4 linked regions of the Saccharomyces cerevisiae S288C genome follow. The gene in region 4 interacts genetically with the main gene of each other region. Each region holds a gene or a part of one and is shown on either strand. Other genes may lie near its edges. The genes, in order: PFU1, YVC1, SRM1 and NMD2.

What was found.
Region 1: mutations in NMD2 (region 4) and PFU1 together harm fitness more than expected from each alone (negative genetic interaction), as found in Saccharomyces cerevisiae (2 studies listed by BioGRID).
Region 2: mutations in NMD2 (region 4) and YVC1 together harm fitness more than expected from each alone (negative genetic interaction), as found in Saccharomyces cerevisiae (2 studies listed by BioGRID).
Region 3: mutations in NMD2 (region 4) and SRM1 together harm fitness less than expected from each alone (positive genetic interaction), as found in Saccharomyces cerevisiae (2 studies listed by BioGRID).

The regions. Positions count from the first base shown.
Region 1 is NC_001136.10:1,072,455-1,077,891, forward strand, and holds PFU1 (Pfu1p), read right to left. Parts: upstream 2,718-5,437; coding exon 1,281-2,717; downstream 1-1,280. Other genes in the region: peptidylprolyl isomerase family protein CPR5, read right to left, coding at 1-103; HNT2 (bis(5'-adenosyl)-triphosphatase), read right to left, coding at 292-858, 948-1,034; PMT7 (putative dolichyl-phosphate-mannose--protein mannosyltransferase), read left to right, coding at 3,411-5,399. UniProt on the Saccharomyces cerevisiae protein: Substrate recognition component of a SCF (SKP1-CUL1-F-box protein) E3 ubiquitin-protein ligase complex which mediates the ubiquitination and subsequent proteasomal degradation of target proteins. Probably recognizes and binds to phosphorylated target proteins.
Region 2 is NC_001147.6:484,885-491,021, forward strand, and holds YVC1 (Yvc1p), read left to right. Parts: upstream 1-2,822; coding exon 2,823-4,850; downstream 4,851-6,137. Other genes in the region: TCB1 (tricalbin), read right to left, coding at 1-1,895; Rab family GTPase VPS21, read right to left, coding at 5,312-5,944. UniProt on the Saccharomyces cerevisiae protein: Required for release of calcium ions from the vacuole in response to hyperosmotic shock.
Region 3 is NC_001139.9:319,350-324,588, reverse strand, and holds SRM1 (Ran guanyl-nucleotide exchange factor), read right to left. Parts: upstream 2,808-5,239; coding exon 1,359-2,807; downstream 1-1,358. UniProt on the Saccharomyces cerevisiae protein: Guanine nucleotide exchange factor that promotes the exchange of GSP1/GSP2-bound GDP by GTP and controls RNA metabolism and transport. Involved in yeast pheromone response pathway and in mRNA metabolism.
Region 4 is NC_001140.6:250,774-258,008, forward strand, and holds NMD2 (Nmd2p), read right to left. Parts: upstream 4,984-7,235; coding exon 4,978-4,983; intron 4,865-4,977; coding exon 1,601-4,864; downstream 1-1,600. Other genes in the region: type 2C protein phosphatase PTC7, read left to right, coding at 328-382, 476-1,452; YHR078W (uncharacterized protein), read left to right, coding at 5,587-7,235. UniProt on the Saccharomyces cerevisiae protein: Involved in nonsense-mediated decay of mRNAs containing premature stop codons. It interacts, via its C-terminus, with NAM7/UPF1.

The sequences.
Region 1 (5,437 bases), on a different chromosome or scaffold from region 4:
TGTGTGTGATCTCAGGATCTTCTGCCGTGTCCTCTTTCGCAAAAATGGCTGTTGTGAAGAGACAAGCAAATAAGGTAATAAAGGAAAAAAATTGAAGCTTCATAATTGCGGATATCGCTGTGCCTTTTGTTTATTGAATTGAAAGTAACCTTTACTGTTGAGTCTCCTCGAGGAAAGTAGTAAGGATGGTTTCATCTTTTTTTTCCTCTGCTAAAAGGGATTCGCTGCGAAACGAAAATTAACTTCCCTACTATTTTTTATATCGTAAGTATGAATCTATTATTTATTGAACTATAACCATTGTGTTAAACCAGGATCAGAAGATACAAATTCTTCTAGTCTGGCTTGAAGATCCTCAGCTTCTTTTTTCATTTCGGTTAAAGCTCGAACCTTCCTTTGACTGTCTGGCTTCAAGACATTAGGACCTTGTGAGAGTTCATCCCCGTCTACAGTGGCCGATGTAGAGTTATTTTTTCTTGCTTGCCTACCACCAACACCCAAATATTCGTCTCTTCTTCCTTGCCAATCAGTCAAAGTCCCATTACCATCCCAATGATCTAATTTATCGTATATTAAATCCCCTACATTGTTTATTTTATAACGTGGAATAATGTGTGTATGCAAGTGGGGTACCGACTGTCCGGCCTCAGGTCCATCTTGGATGGCAACGTTGATAGAGTCAGCCTTATATTGCCACTTAATAAATCTATGTATTAACTGTAAAGTCTTGAAATAATCTTGAGATTCAGGCATGGTCAGATCTGATAAGTTTAAAACCGTAGTTCTCAGTGGAACGATCAGTACATGTCCGGGTACAATTGGTTTCAAGTTTACCAATGCATACGTATATTTTGACTTCTGTAAAGAAGCAGAGATTATAAGGTCTCCATATAGTTAGTAACGCAATGGTGCGAATGGGGTACAAAAAAACATATGAGAGTGCATACATAGAAAACTTGTTCAGTTACAAGAAACTTGCTGAAATATATTGGCTTATTCATGCTTTTAGGTTTCTTTGTTTTGCTTAAGATCATTCTGAGCCCAAGATAGATCAATGGAGCTTCCTTTTTTTCTTCGCTTCTTACAATTGAGCAGAAAAGAAGATTCGACCATATCTTGAGAAACGTATAAACCAGGAAAATTACACATTCTAATTGGTGTCAATGGCAAAATATATGCAAGTTTGCATGTAAAATATTTTTTTTAGGCCGGATAAAATAATTCTTCCTAATAGTGTCTAAAAGAAAACACTGACTCTTATAAAACAAACAATGAACATTTTAATAATTAAGATATAAACTGCCATCTTGATCTTCCAAAGAGACTACCAAATCAGCGACTTCATCGCTTTTCATGTTCCACCCCAGCTTGGGAGAAACACAAATATTCTTTAGGCAGGGCAGCCTGGATTCCAGTATGGCTATAGTCAAGTCATCGGGATGAATCTTAGAAGCTAATCCCAAGGATCCGCTGCATTCTAAGTACAATGTTTTAAGAGGCCTATCATATTCCACCAATTTACTTAGCATGAATTCAGAAAAGCACCACTTAGAACAGTAATCAACCATGAGCTGCAAAGAAATTAAATTAGCACAGTACGTGAAGACATGGTCTAGGGAATTTTCTGCCAGAGATGGCATCGGATAATGAAAAAATAAATGCTTTAAATTATCACCGATCTGTGATAACAACGAATAAATAGACAATTCCGTTATTTGAGGACAATAAGAGAATTCTAAAGTTGTAATAGTTGTTGGCCATTTCGTATCAATCACAAATTCATTTGTTATACCTCCACTCAATTTCAAGTACCTGAGATTCTGTGGCCATTGAATATCTTGGAACCCTTGGCAGTCAATCGACGATCTGGGAAAAGATAAATGCGTTAATTTAGTGAAATTTTTAATGGCAGAAAATAACTCCTTCAGCTTAACTGTTTCCGATACTAAACCCAAGTCTAAAAATTTCAAATCATGACACGATTTCAATGAAATCAAAGGCGCGTAACCAAAGCTTGTCTGTGGTGCGATGAATTTAGTTAGGTTAGAACAGCATCGTCGTAAAAGCTTGGAGACAAATGAATTTCTACCACTTTGTAAAATTGTAGACAAGTTCAACTCAAAAACATAGTGTCCTAAATTCTTCTTTTTATTTATGATTATTGTATCAACAAACCCGTTGAAATTCTTACTTGTTAACGCTGGTGCATAATAAAGCTTTGGTAGACACATGGCGTACCAGTTTCTGCAAACTAGTAAGTAGTTCATATTTATACCAGTCGTAGTTTTTTTTCCATTAGCAGTTTTATTTAATTTTTCTTCTTTCTCTGGTATATCAAGATAATGAATTATTCTATGCTGTATCTCCCATGGCAAAACCATCTTTACTGATACTGAATGCATCCTCGCTTCCTCACTCTCTATGACTTTGCCATTTTTTTCTCCTTTGGAGGACGATGTCGATGATGACGATGGCGACTGCTTACGTCCTTTTTTATCCTTTTTTTCATTACTCAGTCGTGTCAATTTCACTATAGTATCATTGGTTTCATCATAGTAATAAGACCCCTGTGGAGTCTCAATGAGTTCTGCATCCTCCGGTATAGTGATAGTGAATTCTTTAGCCTTATTATCATTTCTTGTAGAGGAGAAACCCTCTCCCGCCACGTACTTCCTGTAAGGAGCCTTGATTTTCTTGGGTCGTGATTTGTTTGCCATTACTGAGTACTGTGGTTGATATGATTATGTGTTAGAGCTGTTGCACATGTTTGTCGATGTACAAATCTTGACGATGCCGTCATATTACTCTCAATACTAGACACATCTTGTATTGACAACCCTTACCCCTCATGAAGAGGTAACCCGGCCGCAGGGCTTTAACAATAAAATAGAGACTATCATTCAACAATTACACAGTAGAAAAAAGTCAGAAGATTACTAATCTCGATCTTAAGTCTATTAGTCAATTAAATGTGGCCTAGGATTCAACTAAAAATATAGTAGTAGTGAAAAAACAAATGTTCCAACCGAGGATCGAACTCGGGACCTTTGCCGTGTGAAGGCAACGTGATAGCCGCTACACTATTGGAACAATATTACGGATGACAGCTTAGGATTCATAAAGAACTAATAAAGGTGTGGCAATAAAAATGGTGCAGCAAGTCTCAACTTTACTGCTTCTTATAGTTACTTCCTGTCGTTTTCATCACACTAACCCTTTGTTTCATTGTGCTCCCCTTCCCTTCCTTTCAATATTGCTTCCTACATCGGTCACTCTTACTTTGGTAATGAAGTAATGAAGAAAGGAAAAATAGAAAATCGAATACTAAAAATGTTATTATTTAAGGAGAATAAGAACGTAGACACTTAAGGGCGATAGTGTTTGAACAGAAAAAAATTAACTTACAAAACATGAAGGACTTGAGATTACAGGGGCCCTACAGAAAGTACATTCCCTATAATATTTTCCAACAATGTGGAATTGGTCACTTAAAGACGCTTGATTATATTTTCGCGTTTTTGATTGTTATTACCAATTTCACATTAATATGGAAATCGCACTCTTCTTCATTCTGGAACCGACCATGGGACAATAATAGTGAACAAGAACTTTCCCAATTAATTCAGTTTTACCTAGACAAGGCTTTTTACATCCATGAATTGCCACCATTTACAATACAGTTCTACTCCATTATTCGAAGATTAAAGATCGCAGAAAATTTAAGATACGTTTCTTTGTTTTTGAATTCATCGACTTTAGGTTTTCTTTTCCTGATAACAAGGAGAATCAATTGCTCTCGTTTAATTTCAGCAACAGGTTTGCTGATATTATCCAACTGGGAAACTTTCAGAAATGAGGGCACTATTATATCATTTGACAGTTTAGAATGGTGTCTGTTCTCAGTAGTAATTTACAGTTTTATAAGCATTTCAATTGCAAAACTGGGAACTACGAATTGGTTTGCTAATGTGATTACATTATCTATTTCTTTAGGGCTGGCAATCTCTTCTAAATTTATTGGAATTGTCACTTGGGCCTTCGTAATTCTTTCTTTTGTACGTCAATTTGATAGACTGATAAGCGACGTTAAAGTTACGACCATCCAAATAATAAAATTTGTCATTCTCTGTCTATTATTCGTTTTGATTATCCCTGGTTCCATCTTCATAATAAGTTATTCGAACTTACTTTCGAATTTTAAGACAGACACGCCACAATTTTCAAAATATATGAGCACATATTTCAAGTCCTATTTAAGAGGCCCTCAAGTACAACCGAGTCGATTGTACTATGGATCAACGATCACATTACGTCATTTAGATTCTATGGTCGGATATCTTGCTTCTCACGATATTTCGTATCCATCAGATGTTGACGAACAGTTAGTAGCGTTATCATTTGAAGAATTCGCGGCAGACAATGAATGGTTAATAGAACATCCTACATTAAATTTGAGTTTTTCTGAGGTATACCATGCTGATCAATTGATACCTGTAGAATTTGGTCAAAGTATAAAACTAAGACACAAATCTACTGGAAAATTATTGAGAGCCAGCACTGCTAAACCTCCCATCAGCGAGCAGGACTATGACTTTCAAATTTCATGCACGAAAGATTCAAACTACGAAGGAGGAATGGATGAGAGATGGGATGTTCTCCTGATTAAAGATGAAATCAACAATGATAAAAAGGATAACGCAGATGATAAATACATTAAACCGCTTCAATCAGAGATACGCTTTTACAATAACGGCCAGAGATGTGGGCTATTGGGCCATGATCTTCGGTTACCTGAATGGGGCCGCTTTGAGCAAGAAGTCCTATGTATGGAGTACCCAGTAATACCAAGAACCACTTTTCTAATAGACTCAGTACAACTACCAGTCGATTTCCAAGTCCCAATGATAGAATATTATATCGGCAAAATAAGTTCTTCAGCAGAATTCAATCATACCTTATCTTGGTCACAATTTCTTTATCTTTTCAAAGAATATATTTTCAAACAATACAAGTACAATTACTATATTAAATACGGTAAAAATAAGGTCACTTTTGAAGATGCGTTCGCCGTGGAAAAATGGCCAATTACGTTAGACACAGACTCTCCAGTTTGGTTTAATTTTGCATGGTATGGATCCTTACTCTCGATGATCATTTTCATGTGCGTGCAATGTAAGAGAATGATATCTTGGAATCCGTGGACAACTGCTGAACCTTCCTTTTCTATCAAATGGGAGGTCTACAATGAATTTGGCTGGGAGTGCATTGTCGGTTGGTTTTTACATTTTTACATCTTCACAATGAGTCCACACTTCAACTTGGGGAAAAAACTGTACTTCCAAAGTTTTTTCTTTAGTGTATTGTGTCTTTTAGAATCGTTAGATTGCCTTGCAAAGTAACTCGTAGAAAGATTTTCTCCATTATGATTTTTCTCCCA
Region 2 (6,137 bases), on a different chromosome or scaffold from region 4:
TCACCCTTTTGGTTTTTTAATGGAATCAAATTTTTGTTCACTTGGCTTCTATCTATTAAATCATTCAGGGTTTGAATGGTAGATCCAATTTCTTCTCCTTTGCCATCCTTGACGACAAACTTATATCTTGTTTTACGACGATCTGCAATAACTGCTTCGTAGTCTGAATTCCACTTCAATGTACCAGTGTCAGTTGCCTTACCAGTGGTTAACACTAGTTTAGCATTCAAGTAAACTTCAACGTAGGCAGTAACCTTCTGTTCTTCTTCAGCAAAACGAGAACCTTCTTCGACCACAACTTTAGCAATACCAGTATTCAAATCCGGTAGTTCCTCCACAGATCCATCCGGCAACTTTTTCTCTTCTAAAGTTGGGAAGAATCTTAAATCAAAAGTCAATTCCCCAACCGGTTTAGAGTTTCTTAAAAACTGAGCTTTCAAGTTTCTTTGCGTGGTTTTATCATGTAAAGTATTCAAGTTGTACTGAATTCTGCCTAGGACTTTATCCTTCAATTTTGCACGCTTATCATAAACACTAATGGTCAAGGGGTCAGTGAATGAGTTTAACAAGACGTACAGAGTTTCGTCCCAAACGGGGTTCAATGTGTCTCTTACGGTTCTTGTCTTGGCAATAGATATATCGTTAAATTCGAAAGATAAGTAAGGGTCGATTGATTCGTTCAATATCGAAGAGGTACGTTTTAGCCCCTTTGCATTTTTGACAGTTATTTCTAATATACCAATGGACAAGTTGGAACCAGATAAGAGTTGTGGAATGTTCAATTGTAAAGAAAATGGAGGTAACAAGATTGGACCCATATATTTCTTGGCCATCTTTTGTATTAGTGTCATAAGGCCTGGGATAGCTAAAATTTCCCAATTGAAGATGGAACGGCCGAATAAGGTAGCAACAAAATCAAAATCAGGAACCTTCAGTAGCTGGATATTAACAGTTTCGACATGAGGGAAGGGAGTCATCAATTTGAATTTCACTCTAGCATGAGCCTTGAAAGCAATGTCTGACACAGAAACAGGGATGGTGATACCAAAAATTTTGGCCTTAACAACCGCTAATTCATTAACGTAATTTCTGACTTGCTTAGCACTCATGTCGCATAAATCGTGAGGAGTAAAAGAAATACCCCAGTCCATCACAACAACATCGGATGCAGTGTTTTGGAAAGTCTTCACCAAATCAACTCTGGGGGGTTTAACACCAAGTGTCAACTCATCGATCCATAGTTGAGTAATAAATTTGGGAATCGCCTCATTAGTAGCCATTTGTTCATTAGCTTGCTGAACGATTAATTGACTAACGGAAGGTTCTAAAATGGGCCAGTACTTATCCAAAAAGGCATTCAACCATTCTAGGGATTCATAGTCGTTTTCCACTTTCTGCACCGTGAACTCTTTCTGGACTAACTCTCTTATGGAACCTCTGTATTTTTTAGCAGAGGTTCTATACAACAATGAAGTGATAACGATGACAAAAAAGGCCGACCCCATTGAAAACTTATAATGACCAAGTGCAAATGATGCCACGCCTCCGATAAAGAAAATGGCTACCGAATGATACCAGTCACCGTAAAGGCTGTCCGGTATGATGTTATCTAAGAAGGTTTCTCTAGTCATATCCATCAATTCATCATCTAAAGTTAATTCGTCTTTGTCTTCCCAGCCACCAATCTGTTTCCAGCCGACATAAGAAGCTTCATGGATACTTCTCTTGAAGCTTTCATCACTAGCATGTGCCGCCTTCTCAGATGACACGCTTTTACTGGATTCGGTTTCCTCTTTCGTCTTTGGAGGTTCTAACTTATCTATCCCATTTATGTTAGCTACTTGGGCTGTTTCGGGCTTCTTTGGTGCTGTTACCCCAGTATCTTCTTTGGCCATATTGTATGTACCACGCAATTGAAGTTTTCAGAATGCACTAGCTATCTTTTTTTATCTTAGCTATTCTTCTTCAATTATCCTACTTATTCTTCAGCAAAAAAAAAATAATAAGCTAAGACAATGCTATACAAGTCAATTACCAGCCAGTAAGTCCAAATTGGAGTAGCCAATGCTATTAGTTGATAATTTTGACGGCCGATTATACTATTCCAATTGCAGCAACATCCCTGTCCCTTAGCTTTTTGAGGGGCCTTTTGTTATAATTTTTCATGCAGCATTCCGGTCGCCAAAGTTGTTATCACTTCTAACGTAAATCGTTTTCTCGTTATGTCCGCTATTTTAGAATGAGAATAATGGATAAAATTGGCCTAAAAAGGGAGCGAGTATAACGTTACTGAGATACAATTGTACATTTTGCCATGGAAATGAGCCAACTAGTCTAATGAGATTTTCAATGCTTTATTTCTTTTTTTAGTTTCTCATTTTATTGTTTCTCTAGTTATTAGTCCTTTGGTTATTTTTATGTCACCACCTCTTGTCACATGACCATTTTTGTTACTTGCTTGGTTTTACAATGATTTATACATTCTTGGGCCTCTCTTGACATATTTTTATCGTCATAATAAGTTCTTCATTCGTTCTCTAAAACAACAAAGTTAGACTCCATGGCCAAGTTGGTTAAGGCGTGCGACTGTTAATCGCAAGATCGTGAGTTCAACCCTCACTGGGGTCGTTAATTTTTTAATTTTTCTCCTACACTGTTGCTATGTCGGAGTTATCTCATAAGAGCTGAAAATATGTGGTAAATTTAGTCAGTATCCTTCGAGGATCAGCTAGAGCCTATTCAATGCAATTGTCATTAATCAGTGGCTTGGTAAGGCAATAGAATTCAGTTATAAAATATAATATTACTAGAACAGGAGCATTATGGTATCAGCCAACGGCGACTTGCACTTGCCAATTTCTAACGAACAGTGCATGCCGGAAAACAATGGATCTCTTGGATTTGAGGCCCCCACTCCGAGACAGATTCTCAGGGTTACGTTAAATTTGAAATACTTAATTGATAAGGTCGTACCTATTGTTTACGATCCCAATGATATTGTTTGTGACCATTCTGAGATTTTATCTCCAAAAGTTGTGAAGCTGGCTTATGAAGCATGTGGCGGGAACCCTAAAGACAAGGCCAACAAAAGAAAATATCAATCTGTCATTATTTTTTCACTTCTTAAAGTTTGTGAGTGGTATTCCATATTGGCCACTATGGAAGTGCACAATGCCAAACTTTACGAAACCAGAAATTTAGCCTCACAACAGTTATGTAAATTGTTAATTGAAAGGGAGGAGACAAGAGACCTGCAGTTTCTTTTCATGCAGTTACTGCTGCGTCGGTACGTAATCAACGAGAACGATGAAGATCAAGAACCGTTGAATGCCTTGGAACTTGCCACAGATATGCACTGTACTACAGTGATAGGATCGAGTGGATTTCAGCGTTGTTTAAAATGGATATGGAGAGGATGGATAGTCCAAAATGGCTTGGATCCCACAACTTTTATCAAGGACGATTCACTGGCGGAAGTGTCATTGATCTCTCATTTCAACCCCGTAAGATTAAAGGCGCCTGTATACCAAAATTATTTGCAGATGATCTTCTCATTTTTGTTTCTAGGGCTTTATACCTTGGTGGTTAATGGTAAGGACTCTGAGAGAGTCCAATCTTTCGATTTGTTAGAAAGCATATTTTATGTTTTCAATACTGGTTTCATCTTGGATGAGCTCACTAAGCTTTATTATATTGGTTATGCGCACCTATCGTTTTGGAATTTATTTAATGATACCACATATTTGATAATCACGTTTGCTATGGGGTTCCGTGCAATGAGCGTAACGCCCCTTAATGCAAAATACTCTTCAGAAGATTGGGATAAAATATCATATAGAGTCTTATCCTGTGCAGCACCATTTGTGTGGTCGAGACTCCTACTATACCTTGAATCACAAAGGTTTATTGGGATTATGTTGGTTATCCTAAAACATATGATGAAAGAATCCATTGTATTTTTCTTCCTTCTATTCTTAATAATGATAGGATTCACTCAAGGTTTCTTAGGTTTGGATTCCGCAGATGGTAAGAGAGATATCACCGGACCCATCCTGGGTAATTTAACAATCACCGTTTTGGGTCTTGGTAGTTTTGATGTTTTCGAAGAATTCGCTCCCCCATATGCGGCAATACTGTATTATGGTTACTATTTTATTGTTTCGGTTATCCTTTTGAATATATTAATTGCTTTGTATTCGACTGCGTACCAAAAAGTTATTGACAATGCAGATGACGAGTACATGGCTTTGATGTCACAAAAGACGTTGAGATACATTAGAGCACCTGATGAAGATGTCTATGTTTCTCCATTGAACTTAATTGAAGTGTTCATGACACCTATCTTTCGTATTCTTCCACCGAAGCGTGCTAAAGATTTGAGCTATACTGTAATGACAATAGTGTACAGCCCATTTTTGTTGCTTATTTCTGTTAAAGAAACTCGGGAGGCTAGAAGGATAAAATATAACAGGATGAAAAGGTTAAACGATGATGCCAATGAATATGATACTCCATGGGATTTGACAGATGGCTACTTGGATGATGATGACGGTTTGTTTTCTGATAACCGAAATTCTGGCATGAGAGCCACCCAGTTAAAGAATTCCCGTTCGCTAAAACTGCAAAGAACAGCAGAGCAGGAAGATGTCCATTTTAAAGTCCCTAAGAAGTGGTATAAAAACGTTAAAAAATGCAGTCCCTCCTTCGAACAGTATGATAACGATGACACTGAAGATGATGCTGGTGAAGATAAAGATGAAGTCAAAGAGCTCACTAAGAAAGTGGAAAACTTGACAGCTGTAATTACCGATCTACTCGAAAAATTAGACATAAAGGATAAGAAAGAGTAAACGACATGTGTTCAAATACTGCTTAATTAATTTCTCAGAAATCCATATATATATATATATATTGCTCCTCATTGCAACTTTGTAAATTTAATGTTCCTTTAATTTATCATTATTTACAATATTAACTAATCCATCTCCCGATTTTCGGCATAAAATAAGTTTATATTTTGGTCTACATGAAAACAAAAGTTTAACTAAACTAACGTGTACAAACCACTTTGAAACGTATATAAAGGTCTAATAAAAACGACTGGCGTTTTGAAAGATAATATAATGATCTAATGCAGTTAAAAAATTTACAAATTATAAGAAGAAAAGAAAAACAACGATTACGGTAAAAAATGAAAACTCCCTCTCCTTTCTAGGTACGATAAATTATGACTTTCATCTTTCCCGTTTTGAAGATCTATTTATCTCAATTTGCCCAGACTTTTTTTTTATATATATTTATTTTCCCCTCTCTAACAACTGCAAGCACTGTTTGCGCTGGTCCCATCATTAGCAGCGTTCAAATCCACTCTTTGATTGTTCGACTCACGTTCGTTACTTGCACTATTTTGCTCTTCAGCCGTCTTCAGTGGTATCTTTTCACCGATTCCCAAAAATACATCGTTAACATTCTCTCCTGTCTTTGCACTTGTTTCAAAGAACAACAAGCCCTTTTCTTCCGCTAGCTTTTCACCTTCTTCCCTTGCGACTTTTCTTTCCCCACCTTCTTGCAGCATATCGATCTTGTTACCAACTAACGCAATGATGATATCCTTTGATGCCTGTTCATGTAATTCCTTAACCCAGTGGCGCGCTTTAATAAAGGATTGTGGTTTTGTAACGTCGTATACTACAAGAGCAGCTTGTGCGTTTCTATAGTACATAGGTGCTAAAGATGCAAATCTCTCTTGCCCAGCAGTGTCCCATATTTCAAACTTAACAGTATGTTCATTTATAGTAACTCTTTGAGTGAGGAATGCTGCACCAATGGTGGGCTCCTTATTTTCGGCAAAATCATTAGATACAAACCTTAGGACTATTGACGATTTACCAACTGCTGCCTCACCCAACAGTACCAACTTTATGGAAGTGACTGATGTGTTCATTTTTTTGTGTGATAAAAGGGATATTTTTTTATAGCTTAGATAAGTCGACGATCTTGCTTTTTATTTTTAAAATCGTTGCCACTTTTATAAGATAAGCTGCTCGTATTTTCACCTCACTTCTCTTTCTTTGTCTTTTCGGGGATATTGTTTTAGCAAAAAGCCCCATAATGCAAACCGAGAAAACCAAAAAAAA
Region 3 (5,239 bases), on a different chromosome or scaffold from region 4:
AGCTAAAGCAACACTTGTTTATTGTTTATTGTTTATTGTTTCTTATTCGTGATGTTGGGTTCACTAAAGTACAGTGTAGTGGCAGGGGATATTGGTAAGTAAGAACTGTTTCGTAGTTTTTTTTATTGGCGAAAGTAGGCTTAAAAAACCAACTAGTATTACCGTGCTGCGCCAAGCCATTTTTCAAAAATCTAAAAGTTTATGTCCTATTGGGTCTAGAGCCAGAAATGTTGAATGACAGTTACTCTTTTTGATAATTAGTTCTAGTACCACTTTATTCACTGCCCGTATATCTCGTATAAACAAGTAATCTTGTTCTATATTTACGCTGCATTATTGAATGTGGGAAGAAAAGGAAAGGAAAATAAGCCATGAGCGAAAGAAAAAGCAAATCACAGTAAAAACAACTCACTACATTTCCGCCTCCCCCCCTTCAAAGAAATTCCCAAGAACTTAACGGATTTGTTTATATTAGCAAAGCTAATCTTCAGAGAAAAGACTGCAGCCTTGGTTCTGCAAAGGGCCTCAATAAAAAAAAAGCGCTGCGCTACTCTACAGTGTTCTATTTTTTATTCGCGAAAATGATGCAACACCCAGTCACGATACATTTGATTAGTTAGATTCTGTGGAGAATGCACGCCACACTGACTATGCAAATGCAAAGACATTAAAATTGTACATGCTTTTCAGCGGTGCCTTATATGTCAGACCATCAATATAGTTCTTTTAGGGGAGAGTCAGCGGTAATTTATGTGCATATCTGGTTTACCTACCGTGCTTGCTTATCTTCCTCACAAGACTTTCTGTTGTTTTTATGGTCTGTATGAGCAATCTCCGGTATGCATTTTCCATAATGCTGTTGAAGAAAGTTAAAATACGATAGGTAATTTGTCGCGGTTAGAGAGAGCAATGAATTTTTCCGTGCTAACATGTTCACCGGAAGTTTATCCTTTGCTTTGCCTGTTGCTGGTGTCTTGGCACATTTTTAATTTTTCTCCGTTTTTCTCAAAAAATCCGATTAAATTCCTTAGAAAGTTCATTACTAGAGAAACGTGCAGAAGAGGAAGAACCTGAAGGGCTGGACGAGCGGATGGATTACATAATACTTACTCAGTGTTGATTTCATCCGCCTGCTAGTTGTCGTCTGGTAACTCCTCGCACTTATGCCCCTGTACTCAATGTAAAGGCCCAAGAAAAATTAAAAAAAAAAAAAAAAAAAAAAAAAAATAAACATGAGAATTTGTCGGTATCGGATAATCATATCGTTTTCTCGTTTTTCTTTGATTTATGTTATATTTTACAATTTATACTGAGGTGCATTATGTCGATTTTCTTTTATTTATCTTTGTACTACTACCTTAATCATCCATTTCATCCGCTCTCTTTTCTGCGTCCTCATCAGACAGCTTAACACCACCAGACACGGAAAATTGGCCTCCACACCCGACTAAAATGATGTTATGATCCTGTGTAGCAGTATTCTTGATTCTGGTTGGAACTTCAGTGTCGTCCTCAAAAGGGCCTAATCCAACGGCGTAGGTTTCACCAAAACCCCAAGAATAGGCAATGCCATTTTGAGCTACCGCGACTGAATGGTGAGACCCCGCCGCAACGCTTTTGAACTTCGGAACATTATTCAACTTAGTTGGAAGTGGCACGGCACGTGCTTTTCCATGAACATCTTTGTAAGTATATTCGGGTAAATTGTCTTTTGGGATACCAACTTCAAACATGTCTAGTCTACCACACGAATACAAATCGCCATCTTGGGATAGGATCAATGAGTGATGTTCACCAGCAGCAATGCTTCTGATAACAACGTTATCAGGTAGCGCTAGTCTTTTTGGCTTTGTAACAAGCGCACCGTCTTCCACATCCTCTGAAACACCACATTGACCAAACTGATTCAACCCCCAGCTTACTAACTTGTTGTCTTTTGTTAAAGCAAAGCAATGGTTTTCGCCAGATGCGATGTATTTTACATGTCTTAACCCAAATGGTCTGGGATCCAAAGTCTTTAAACGGAACCTTTCCATAACTTTTCTTCCTAATTGGTTTTGCTGACCGTTACCCCAGGCGAACACCATACCCTCTTCATCTAAGAAAAGTATGTGATCCTTACCGGGAGCTAATTGGACAATATTGTACTTAGAGAATGTAGGCACTTTCCATGGAGTTTTTTGAATTTTAATTTTATCTTGGTAAAACCCTAGGATACCTTCATTGCAACGGAAAGTACCCCATGCGTATACCTCGCCATTGCTGAACAGGGCGCAACTCATATTGTCTGTAGCTGCCAATTGCACGACCTTGTGTCCCTCCGCTAAGGGAGGAAATGACTCTCTTGGGATTTTAGCGGGCGTAGATTCCAATTCGTTCAAATCACCATCTTCGTCATCACTTGAGTCATCGGCGTCCATGTCCTTGAGTTGTTCCTTGGCGTTGGAAGTATCTCTGCCCAACGCACCCACGTCATTGCAACCCCAGGACCATACATTGCTTTCTTCATCAAGGGCTAAGGTGTGCATACCACCGACTGCAAAAGAAATGATCTTGGCCTCATCGCGAGGTAAAAATGGGTTTAACCTTGGTCTTTTAACTTCCTTATTTTTGGCTAGTGGACCCAACCCAAGCTCACACATAGAACCAGTACCCCAGCAAAATATATCCAATGGTTGGACACTTAAGTACATATGCTTGTAGTCTTCTTGAGCGTTTATGATATGAGAAGCATGAGTTTTAGACATTTTCTTTGCTCTATGAGCGCCAGACGCGTCTCCATTGGTGGCGACTGTTCTTTTGACCATTTTAAACTTTTATATGACAACTTTTTAAGTTTCTGGATCCAGGATTTGACTTAAAGAGGATGTCTTGATGACTTTTAATATTCTCGAGATCGGTGATTTTATTCATCCTGCCTTGCCTCTCCCGTGCTTTTTTGTTTTTTTGAAATTTTATTTGTGCGGGTAATGAATATTGTTTGTCCTTCGAGAGGTCCTCGCGAAACCCTGCTACTTTTAGCCGCCCAACGATTGAAAAAGAAGGGAATTGCTAGATAGCTATCTCTGTCGGAAGCAAACAATATATATATATATATATATGTAACTCTTGATATCGGTGCTCTCTACTTTAGAGTATGCGGTGTTCCTCTGTCCATTAAAAGCAAGTGTCCTTTTCTTTAGAGTCTCGGATTATACTATCTTGGAAGTGAGTTTTTAAAGAACCAGAATGGCAGGACACTGGAATACAGATTGGCTTTATATCGTTACTGCCGAGGGAAGACTCTCATAATATCTAAATTTTCTGTTCCGATTCTCTTACTTGCAAATATTTTACACTCTGTCAGGAATAATCAGTAATTGCCTCATTGAATTATCTTAGGTAGTTCTCTTTCAACTGCTATTGTATTTCAATCTTGGGGACTACAAAACGTTGTAGCAATTGTTGACGATGGTTCCTACCTGAAATATGGCCTTAAGAATTTACCGCGAGCAACGGGAGGGATAATGTCCAACACGGCTTTTTATTATTATTATTTTCCGAACCTATAAATCCATCAGTATTCCTTTCAAGAGTTTTTCCGTCTCTGGCTGAAGGCTCATTTCCATGATGGGGTCACAATTATTATCGCACACAATTTTGGTGGCGTTGAAATTGATGCCGGAATTTGCCCCAGTGCTATAGGTGTTTTACTTAACACATAATTTCTGAACCCATAATAAATGACACGTAAATTTCCCCTTTTTATTTAGTGGAACTGAACCTGTTTTGCCATTAAGAAGCAAATACCTTCCTGTTGCTTGATTTGCCCTGTTTGTCTTATGTGTTGAAGAGAAATTAGAATATTATGTGGCGTATCAATGCCAAAGTATTATATAATGTGTTGAAACGAGCGGTATTTAATAGTAACATGAGTTACTATGGTAACGATCTAAATGTTTAAATCCTATACGATGAAGTATGGAAGCACTATTACAAAAGGAAATGTAAATGAGCATGTCAGAAAGTACTGAATTTGAGTTAAGAGTCTATTAATTGAATGAGATCTGAAAGTCACATATAAGAGCAATATGAGTCGTCACATTAAATGTATGAAGCTGCCGGAATCACCATTATATTAGCCATATATAATAATGAAACAATCGGCATGTGGTTTATACCTCTGTTATATAAGTACAAAAAGATCCATATTCATTCTTCATTAATACAACCTGTTAACTTTTAACTATCAACATAAAGAGCTTAGCTGTCTTAGTTAGCTTCGCTTTTTATCATAACTACACCTCCTTTAGGTAAAAGAGAAGTACCTCTAACTTACACTATTTCTTTCGTGGAAAGAAGCTGCACTAAAACAGGTTTTAAAACAGACCGATTTATTTACCATAGGATACCTACATATTTTTGTCCCCTCTACATATCGTATCGCCGAGCATTCATAGAAGTTGAACTACATCCTTATTTCAATTATGTGCAGTACGAATGCATTCTTTTTGCCAGGAGACAAACCACAAATTTACATAACTGCAAATCGTACTGTTTTGTGGGCATTTGGGTTCACATCAAGCAAGACGTACTCTCTTATTAGAGGCATAGAACGAACGCTTTTACAATTCATTTTCAATTCCTCTTCTGTTTCTCGACCTCGTTCTATGACAACTCGCAACAAAAAAAATGATTTCTTCCTTCTCTTGGTCGGGTTTGGAAAGTTGTGCGAGAAGGCGAAATTTCGGAAAAAATGCCATCTCCTAGAATCGAACCAGGGTTTCATCGGCCACAACGATGTGTACTAACCACTATACTAAGATGGCTAATTTCTTTATGAACTTTGTTGTATCTCAAAATGAGATATGTCAGTATGACAATACGTCATCCTAAACGTTCATAAAACACATATGAAACAACCTTATAACAAAACGAACAACATGAGATAAAACCCGTCCTTCCCTAGCTGAACTACCAAAAGTATAAATGCCTGAACAATTAGTTTAGATCCGAGATTCCGCGCTTCCACCACTTAATATGATTCATATTTTATATAATATATAAGATAAGTAACATTCCGTGAATTAATCTGATAAACTGTTTTGACAACTGGTTACTTCCCTAAGACCGTTTATATTAGGATTGTCAAGACACTCCGGTATTACTCGAGCCCGTAATACAACAAACTTTGACCTTCAGTATTTTTGTGTTGTGTTGTTCTATTAACGCCTCTCTAACAATAGATATTTTGGAATGG
Region 4 (7,235 bases):
GTTTCCTCTATCCAAAGTTGCCTATATCACAATAAAATTAGAAATTAATCATTTTAATAAGCTTGCTGCCATTCAGTGACTCGCAATCTACGTTTTAAACGTAATTTAAAAATCCACTTCCACCTACATATTTTGCAACAGTCGTACGACAGAAACTGAGGCTCTATAAAATGAGATGTGCTAATTGTTCTTTCTTGGCTGGTTTCAGCTACATCTTTCTGTAATCAATCTACAAATTTACACGCGAGCTTCATTTTGACAGTAAACAAATGTAAAAGACACATGCAATAAAAGCGGTCCAGAAAACAAACGACAAAGCCACCAAAAATGTTTGCAAACGTTGGATTTAGAACTTTGAGGGTCTCGAGAGGTCCCCTTTATGGTATGTTTATTGTTTTATTCATTGGTGTGCTAATTGCTAAATTTGCGGGACAAATGCTAATCGACTCAGAGACTAACTTTTCTCATATCATAGGATCCTGCAGTCAAATCATCAGCTTTTCCAAGAGGACTTTTTACTCAAGTGCCAAGAGTGGGTATCAATCGAACAACAGTCATGGTGATGCGTATAGTTCAGGTAGCCAATCAGGCCCGTTCACCTATAAAACCGCGGTAGCTTTCCAACCAAAAGACAGAGACGATCTGATATACCAAAAACTAAAGGATTCTATTAGATCACCTACAGGAGAAGACAACTATTTTGTTACATCAAACAACGTTCACGATATTTTTGCCGGTGTCGCAGACGGTGTTGGAGGATGGGCTGAGCATGGGTATGACTCCAGCGCCATCTCAAGAGAATTGTGTAAAAAAATGGACGAAATAAGCACTGCTTTAGCAGAAAATTCATCCAAAGAAACGCTTTTAACGCCAAAGAAAATTATTGGTGCTGCATACGCAAAAATTAGGGATGAGAAAGTAGTGAAGGTTGGTGGGACAACAGCCATTGTGGCTCACTTCCCATCTAATGGAAAATTGGAAGTTGCCAACTTGGGTGATTCTTGGTGTGGAGTCTTCAGAGATTCTAAACTTGTATTCCAGACAAAGTTTCAAACTGTTGGATTTAATGCTCCTTACCAATTGTCAATCATTCCAGAAGAAATGTTGAAAGAGGCCGAAAGAAGGGGTAGCAAGTATATTTTAAACACCCCCAGAGACGCTGATGAATATAGCTTCCAATTGAAAAAAAAGGATATTATTATATTGGCTACCGATGGTGTAACCGATAATATTGCCACAGATGATATTGAGCTTTTTCTGAAGGATAACGCTGCGAGAACAAACGATGAGTTACAGCTATTATCCCAGAAGTTTGTGGACAATGTTGTCAGTTTAAGCAAGGACCCCAATTACCCCAGTGTTTTTGCGCAAGAGATTTCTAAGCTAACTGGCAAAAACTACAGCGGTGGTAAAGAAGACGATATAACTGTTGTTGTCGTGAGAGTTGACTAACACTCCGCTCTTTAATCTCCTGGAAAGCAGTGTAAATAAAAATACAGCGTCATAAACGGTACTATATAAACACGTAGCCATTTAATAGAGCCAAACATAAGTGGGCATATATAGTAAAAATTTAAAGAACTATATTCGCAAAAGAATCTCAGTCGAAAGAACGTTTTAAAACAATCTTTTTAATCTTGTTTCGCTCGGTTTTTAGTTTCTCTTCTTCTTCAAGGACATCAGAGACAAATTTCACATCCGTTGGTAATTGTAAAATTCTTGATTGTGTCTTCTTACCGCTTTTAGTCAAGAACGTAAATGCAATCTTCTTTGGCTTGGATAACTCTTCGTAGGTCTCCTTGCTTGAAGAAGGTTCTTCACTCTTTTTTAATAATAAAGGTTTTTGAACGCTGACTGGCTTCGAAATTACTGGAATTTTACTGGCAACAACCTTTTCGCTTTTCCTTGCGTCTATGGATTCTTGCATCATTTTCTGAAATTGCCTTTCCAATTCTTCTTCCGCTTTCCTTTCTTCCTCATCCTTTAGTTTTCTCTCGTACTCTTCATACATTCGTTTCATTTCAATATCTCTGTCTGCGTCAAGATCACCACCATACTCCAAATCAGAGTCGCTGTCTTCTTCTTCTTCATCATCATCATCCTCATCATCATCATCTTCATCATCATCCTCATCGCCTTCTTCTCCATCATCATCATCATCGTCATCGTCATCGTCATCATCCTCGTCATCGTCCTCATCGTCTTCATCTTCACTTTCGTCTTGCTTTGCCTGATGTTTTCCTGGCGCTGACTCTGTGTTCGGTGTACTTATCTCCGCGTCTTCATCTTCTCCTAGTAAATCGACACCATCGTCGTTTTCATCATCTTCATCCTCATCATCTTCGGTGATTGACTCGATAGGAACAGCACTCTCCTTACCGTTGTGAATGCTTGCAGAAGATCCCTTCACTCTGTCGTCTTTACTTTTTATTGCGTTTAATGATTTCAGTAAACTTTCCAACCTTGAGGCACTTTCTACCAAATTTTCTGACCTTTCAAATTTAGTGTTTCCGAAAATATTCTCATATTTTTTAAATGTGCTTGAAACTCTGAATTCTGTTTCCTTGGGTAAAGGTTGTTCTTTAATAAAAGTATAATACTCGAAAAACCTCAGCAAAAGTTTGCATTTCTTAGTAAAAGCTGCAGGGGTCCTGTTGATATTTAACAGAATTGTAGTGACTAGTTGAATCCTGAAATAATTATCCGGTGGATCTGAGTAGTTTAAATAAAATGGATTGGGTTGATTGTTGATATGACCAAACCGAATAATGTGGTAGATAGTATCTAACAAAACATCGGATTTTATCATTTCAAAGTTGAATATTTCAGTTAAGTATCTGACATTTGATATTCTATGCATGTTTTGTCCATAATCGTTAATTTCTAAGCCTCGCTCAATGTTTTCCAGTACTTGGTCTATACATCTGATGACGAAATCGCGGCGGTAACTGTATAGACCGCCTAGAACTTTTGTTAATAAGGGAATATTTTGATAGCTAATCTTATGTGGTTTTGAAAACAGAGAAAACAGCACTTTCTGAATAGCTACATCGTCCCAGTGAGCTTTCCGAACCAACTTGACAATGTGTTTGAAGTCTAGGCTACTTAGTTCACTTCTAATTAATATGCGATAAAACTGTTGTTCAGGCGTTATTGTTTTTACCGTAACATTTAATGATTTTACAGAAGGGGGATAAAGTAAAGTAATTATGTTTTCTAAGGCGCTTTTCATGTTCATGTTCAATTGCCTATCATTTTTTTTATCCTTGATTAGTTGGACCATTTTTTCCATTAATTCCTTATATTCTGGCTTATTTAGCAGAAATTTCCCTGAGTGCTCCAACAAAACCGTCAAAATTTCTACGTTATTTGGAACTTGCATATACATGATTAATGTTCTAATCTTATGAAAAATCATAAACGATGGTATTAATTGAAATTTAATCATTTCACTGAAGAAGATGATGTTTTTAACGTTAATCTTATTAGAATGTAATTGACTCCTGAAGCCATTGTCTAGGTAGTTAATAAACTCAGAAACAATTTCCGGCATATATTTGCTATTTGTTGCAATAAATCTGGAATACACTGGCAGTTTGCTCCAATCTTGTGTTTCCATGAAAAATTTCAATATTCGATTTCTTGTGGCTTTGTTGTCCAAATATGATGACCAATATCTATTTGAAAGGTCATCGATTATATCTTTACAATCTGCCATTTCCAAATCCGTAAAGAATAGATTGATATTTTTTGAGTTAACGTTTGAATCTTTTTCTGTTTTAGAAGATTGTGATTCTTCTACTGTTTTTGAGATATCTGGTAAGATTTCATAAAATTTCCTTGTATCTTCATTTTCCCATAATCGTTGGTTGGGTGGCAATATCTGATTCGTGATCATTGGAGAAGCTGTTTCTTTCAGATCATCATTAGAGGCACCTTCAAGCTCCGGAATTTCTAACTTAAAAAATTCTCCCAAAGTAATTGCAGATGTCTTGAACCTAATGAATATTGGAAGTAACTTGTCGTACTCCTCTACGTACTCATCTCTCAATTTTCCCGTTCTTATTTGGCATTTCTGATGTTCTCTTTGCAGTTTATTGACCTTCTTATGCAGTTCTGTGGCCCTCGCAAAAGTGGCGTCTATAAAATTCTTAAACAGAGACTGTAACGCACCTTTTAACTTCGAGTCATATATTAAATCATCCCAAGAATTATCATCGTCGCGAAACAAAGGTGCAAATTTCTTAATAAATGCGGTCGCAATAGTGGTAGTAAAGCCCAATTTGAACTTATAATTAAGAATCTCTCTGAGAATACTGAATAACAACGGATCCTTTCGCCCAGTTTTCTTCTGTAGGAAGTTTGGAATAGCATCTTTCGACTCAATATCATCCAATGTTCTAAAAACTCCAACTAAATAAAGCTCGGTAAATACCCGAAGATTACCTTTAACTCTGGTTATCCTTTGAAGCTCATCTCTTTCGGATTCAATGTCAACAGAGGGGTTCTCAAAAGCTTGTAAAAAAGCTCCTAAAAGCGGACTAGTAAATCGGCCATTGAACCTTTGATGAAGTCCACTTATGATCTCAACAGCGGCAATTACGTCATCATTTTTATTCAAAACATTTAGCAGACATTCTGTTACCGTCACTATTATCTCTGATAGGTACTTTTCCAAGGACGCCTCACTTAAATCTTTCAATAATGAAGATTCTGAACCTTTCACAAAACCCTTCTTTAGTTTTTTTATAAAGCCAGTGTTTCTCTTTATACTGGAATCCAGTTTTTTACTTTTCAGGGGAAAGACTTCTTCGCCATTCCAAGCTCGGGTGTTCAAATCATGCAATTCTTTTTTCCGTCCATCCTGTTGATACATAATTGTTACCGTAGTTTACAACGATCAATAAAAGAAGTTAGTATAAAACCTTAGAAGTACTGAAAGGCCGATCTGGCCACAGTAAGATAAATCAAACATACGTCCATAATTTCTGTCCAATGTATTATCAATGCAGATACAATATTAGATTATTTAAGCATTTAAGTTGATTGTTACTGTTCATTGTAAAGTAATATGGGCCTCATTAGTTTCTCAAACCTGTATTCGAATGCAGTTTTTCAGTGACTGCCAAGAAAGTGAAAAAAAAAAAAAGAAGCAGGCTCCATCAATTCGTATCAAGTGATAATTATCACATAAATTATATAATTGTAAACCTATTAATAACCCTAATATCATCCTCATGCCCTAAGAAATATTCAATATAACCCCCTAACAATATCATAATATCCCGTAGTGATCATAGAAACGCTATATGATGGTGCATAATTAAGATAAAGGTCATTCAGGCATGAAATAATGAACTTTAGTGAACGACTTAGTCATACAGAGTCTATTTTAGCTTAACCATTCGGTTTTATTTTACAGTCTAGACTCAAACGAGTGAAAAATTGCGATATCTGCGATGACCGAGTCCTGAACAATAAAAATTGACCAGCAGGGAAAGAAAAGGAAAAGATCTCAACTCTGGCGGTTGCCTCCAGGACCTGCACTAGAAAGGACTATTGAGTGTAGACTAAGTGGTGGACGGGATGGAGGCACTTATCGTATTTATAGTGCTTTCCGTATCCGGAGCATTTGCTTACAAATGCTCCTATGAAAGGCTCTGGTTTAAAGTAGGGTCTTTGTTTGACATTATATCAACTTCCTCGAAGAAAAATGTCATTCCGTTGGCAAGCAAAATGGAAGTTGGCTCGAATGAGGATGTGTCTAGTATGGGTAATTTCATAAATAAATTCTACACAGAGTATTCTTTACCCTCACATAAGGTACTGCAATCACTGCGAGTCCTTTTTTCATTAGCAATGATGACGTATACAGTAACCATAGAGATTATTCTATGGCAGATTAAGGTTGCTGGAATGGACAAGGAAGTTACTTTCATAACGACTTGGGTGTGGCCTCTGACTGCAATCATGCTATCCTTCATACTAATTTTATTTCAGCCCTTTTTCATTATAATATCGTTACTGAATAAATTCTACAATGACAAGTTCGATATCGATAGGTTGATAATAGTGACATGCATAATCTTGTCCACACTTATTGCGCTGTTAAGTTACATAAATATTGGACCGTTCCAGTACACAAAAAATATTCTAACTAGATTGTCCATCGGAGGCGTCACAGTCATGGCTTCCCTATCTGGGTTAGCCACTGTTTCTAGTTTATACTACAACTTTTTAGTCATCTGGCACAAGTTTCGTAATACACCAATGTCAGACCCCAGTTTTAGAAACATCAACAACAGCAACAATAACAGTAAATCTCTCTTATGGACAACAGACGCCTATATAGAGGAAAAAATCCAAGATTATGAACACAACATTGAACAAAATGTACAAATATTAAGAAGTTTAGAAGAAGAGGTCGGAGAAAACTCAACTTTTAAAGCAGAGTTGATGGAAAAAATCGCCTGGTATCAACTGGAGCTTGGGAAATTGGAAGCATTATTACAACAGTCCCCTCAGGTACGCACTTTTAAGAAAGCTTTTGAAGTCGGGTTTATCATATACTGTCTTCATAAACTAATAATAACTTTCCTGAAAAGAATCCCCTATATCATATACCACTCGCTCAAATATCCAGATGACTACGATTATGAAAATTTTAGTGAAAATGCAGCATCCGATCCTTTAGCCATTACGATAGCAAATATTTTGGATTTTTCGTTTTTCAGGTTCAATTACCAGCACGATCTCGATTCGTTAACAAAACAGATATCGTTATTTTTGTCAATTTCTCTCTTTCTTTGCTGTCTTTCTGCTGTCAATACCACCATCTCCTACGTTGTGACCCTTTTGCCCATAAAGTTCCAGATTCTTGCACTTTTCGCCATGCAGAATGATGACACTGCTAATGTACTTCCAGAGTACACCAATAACTCTTCCTATAAGGGAAAAAAGAGAAACTATTCTCAGGAACAAAAAGGAATATCTTTGATAAAAAATCTGGTGGTGTCAGAGTTGACTGGCGTCTACGTTTTGGCTACAACGCTAATGGTTAGGTCCCATCTCCCTTTTGAAGTATCACAAAGATTAAAGGAGCTATTGGGTGGAAAGTTTACCGTCCCAAACATTGTCATAGATTCTTGGTTTGATGAAGTCTACGCTTTTGCATGTGTGTTTACCTTTATTTGCATAAGAATTGCAGAACGAAAGCTTTCCACCAAAAAAGTCAG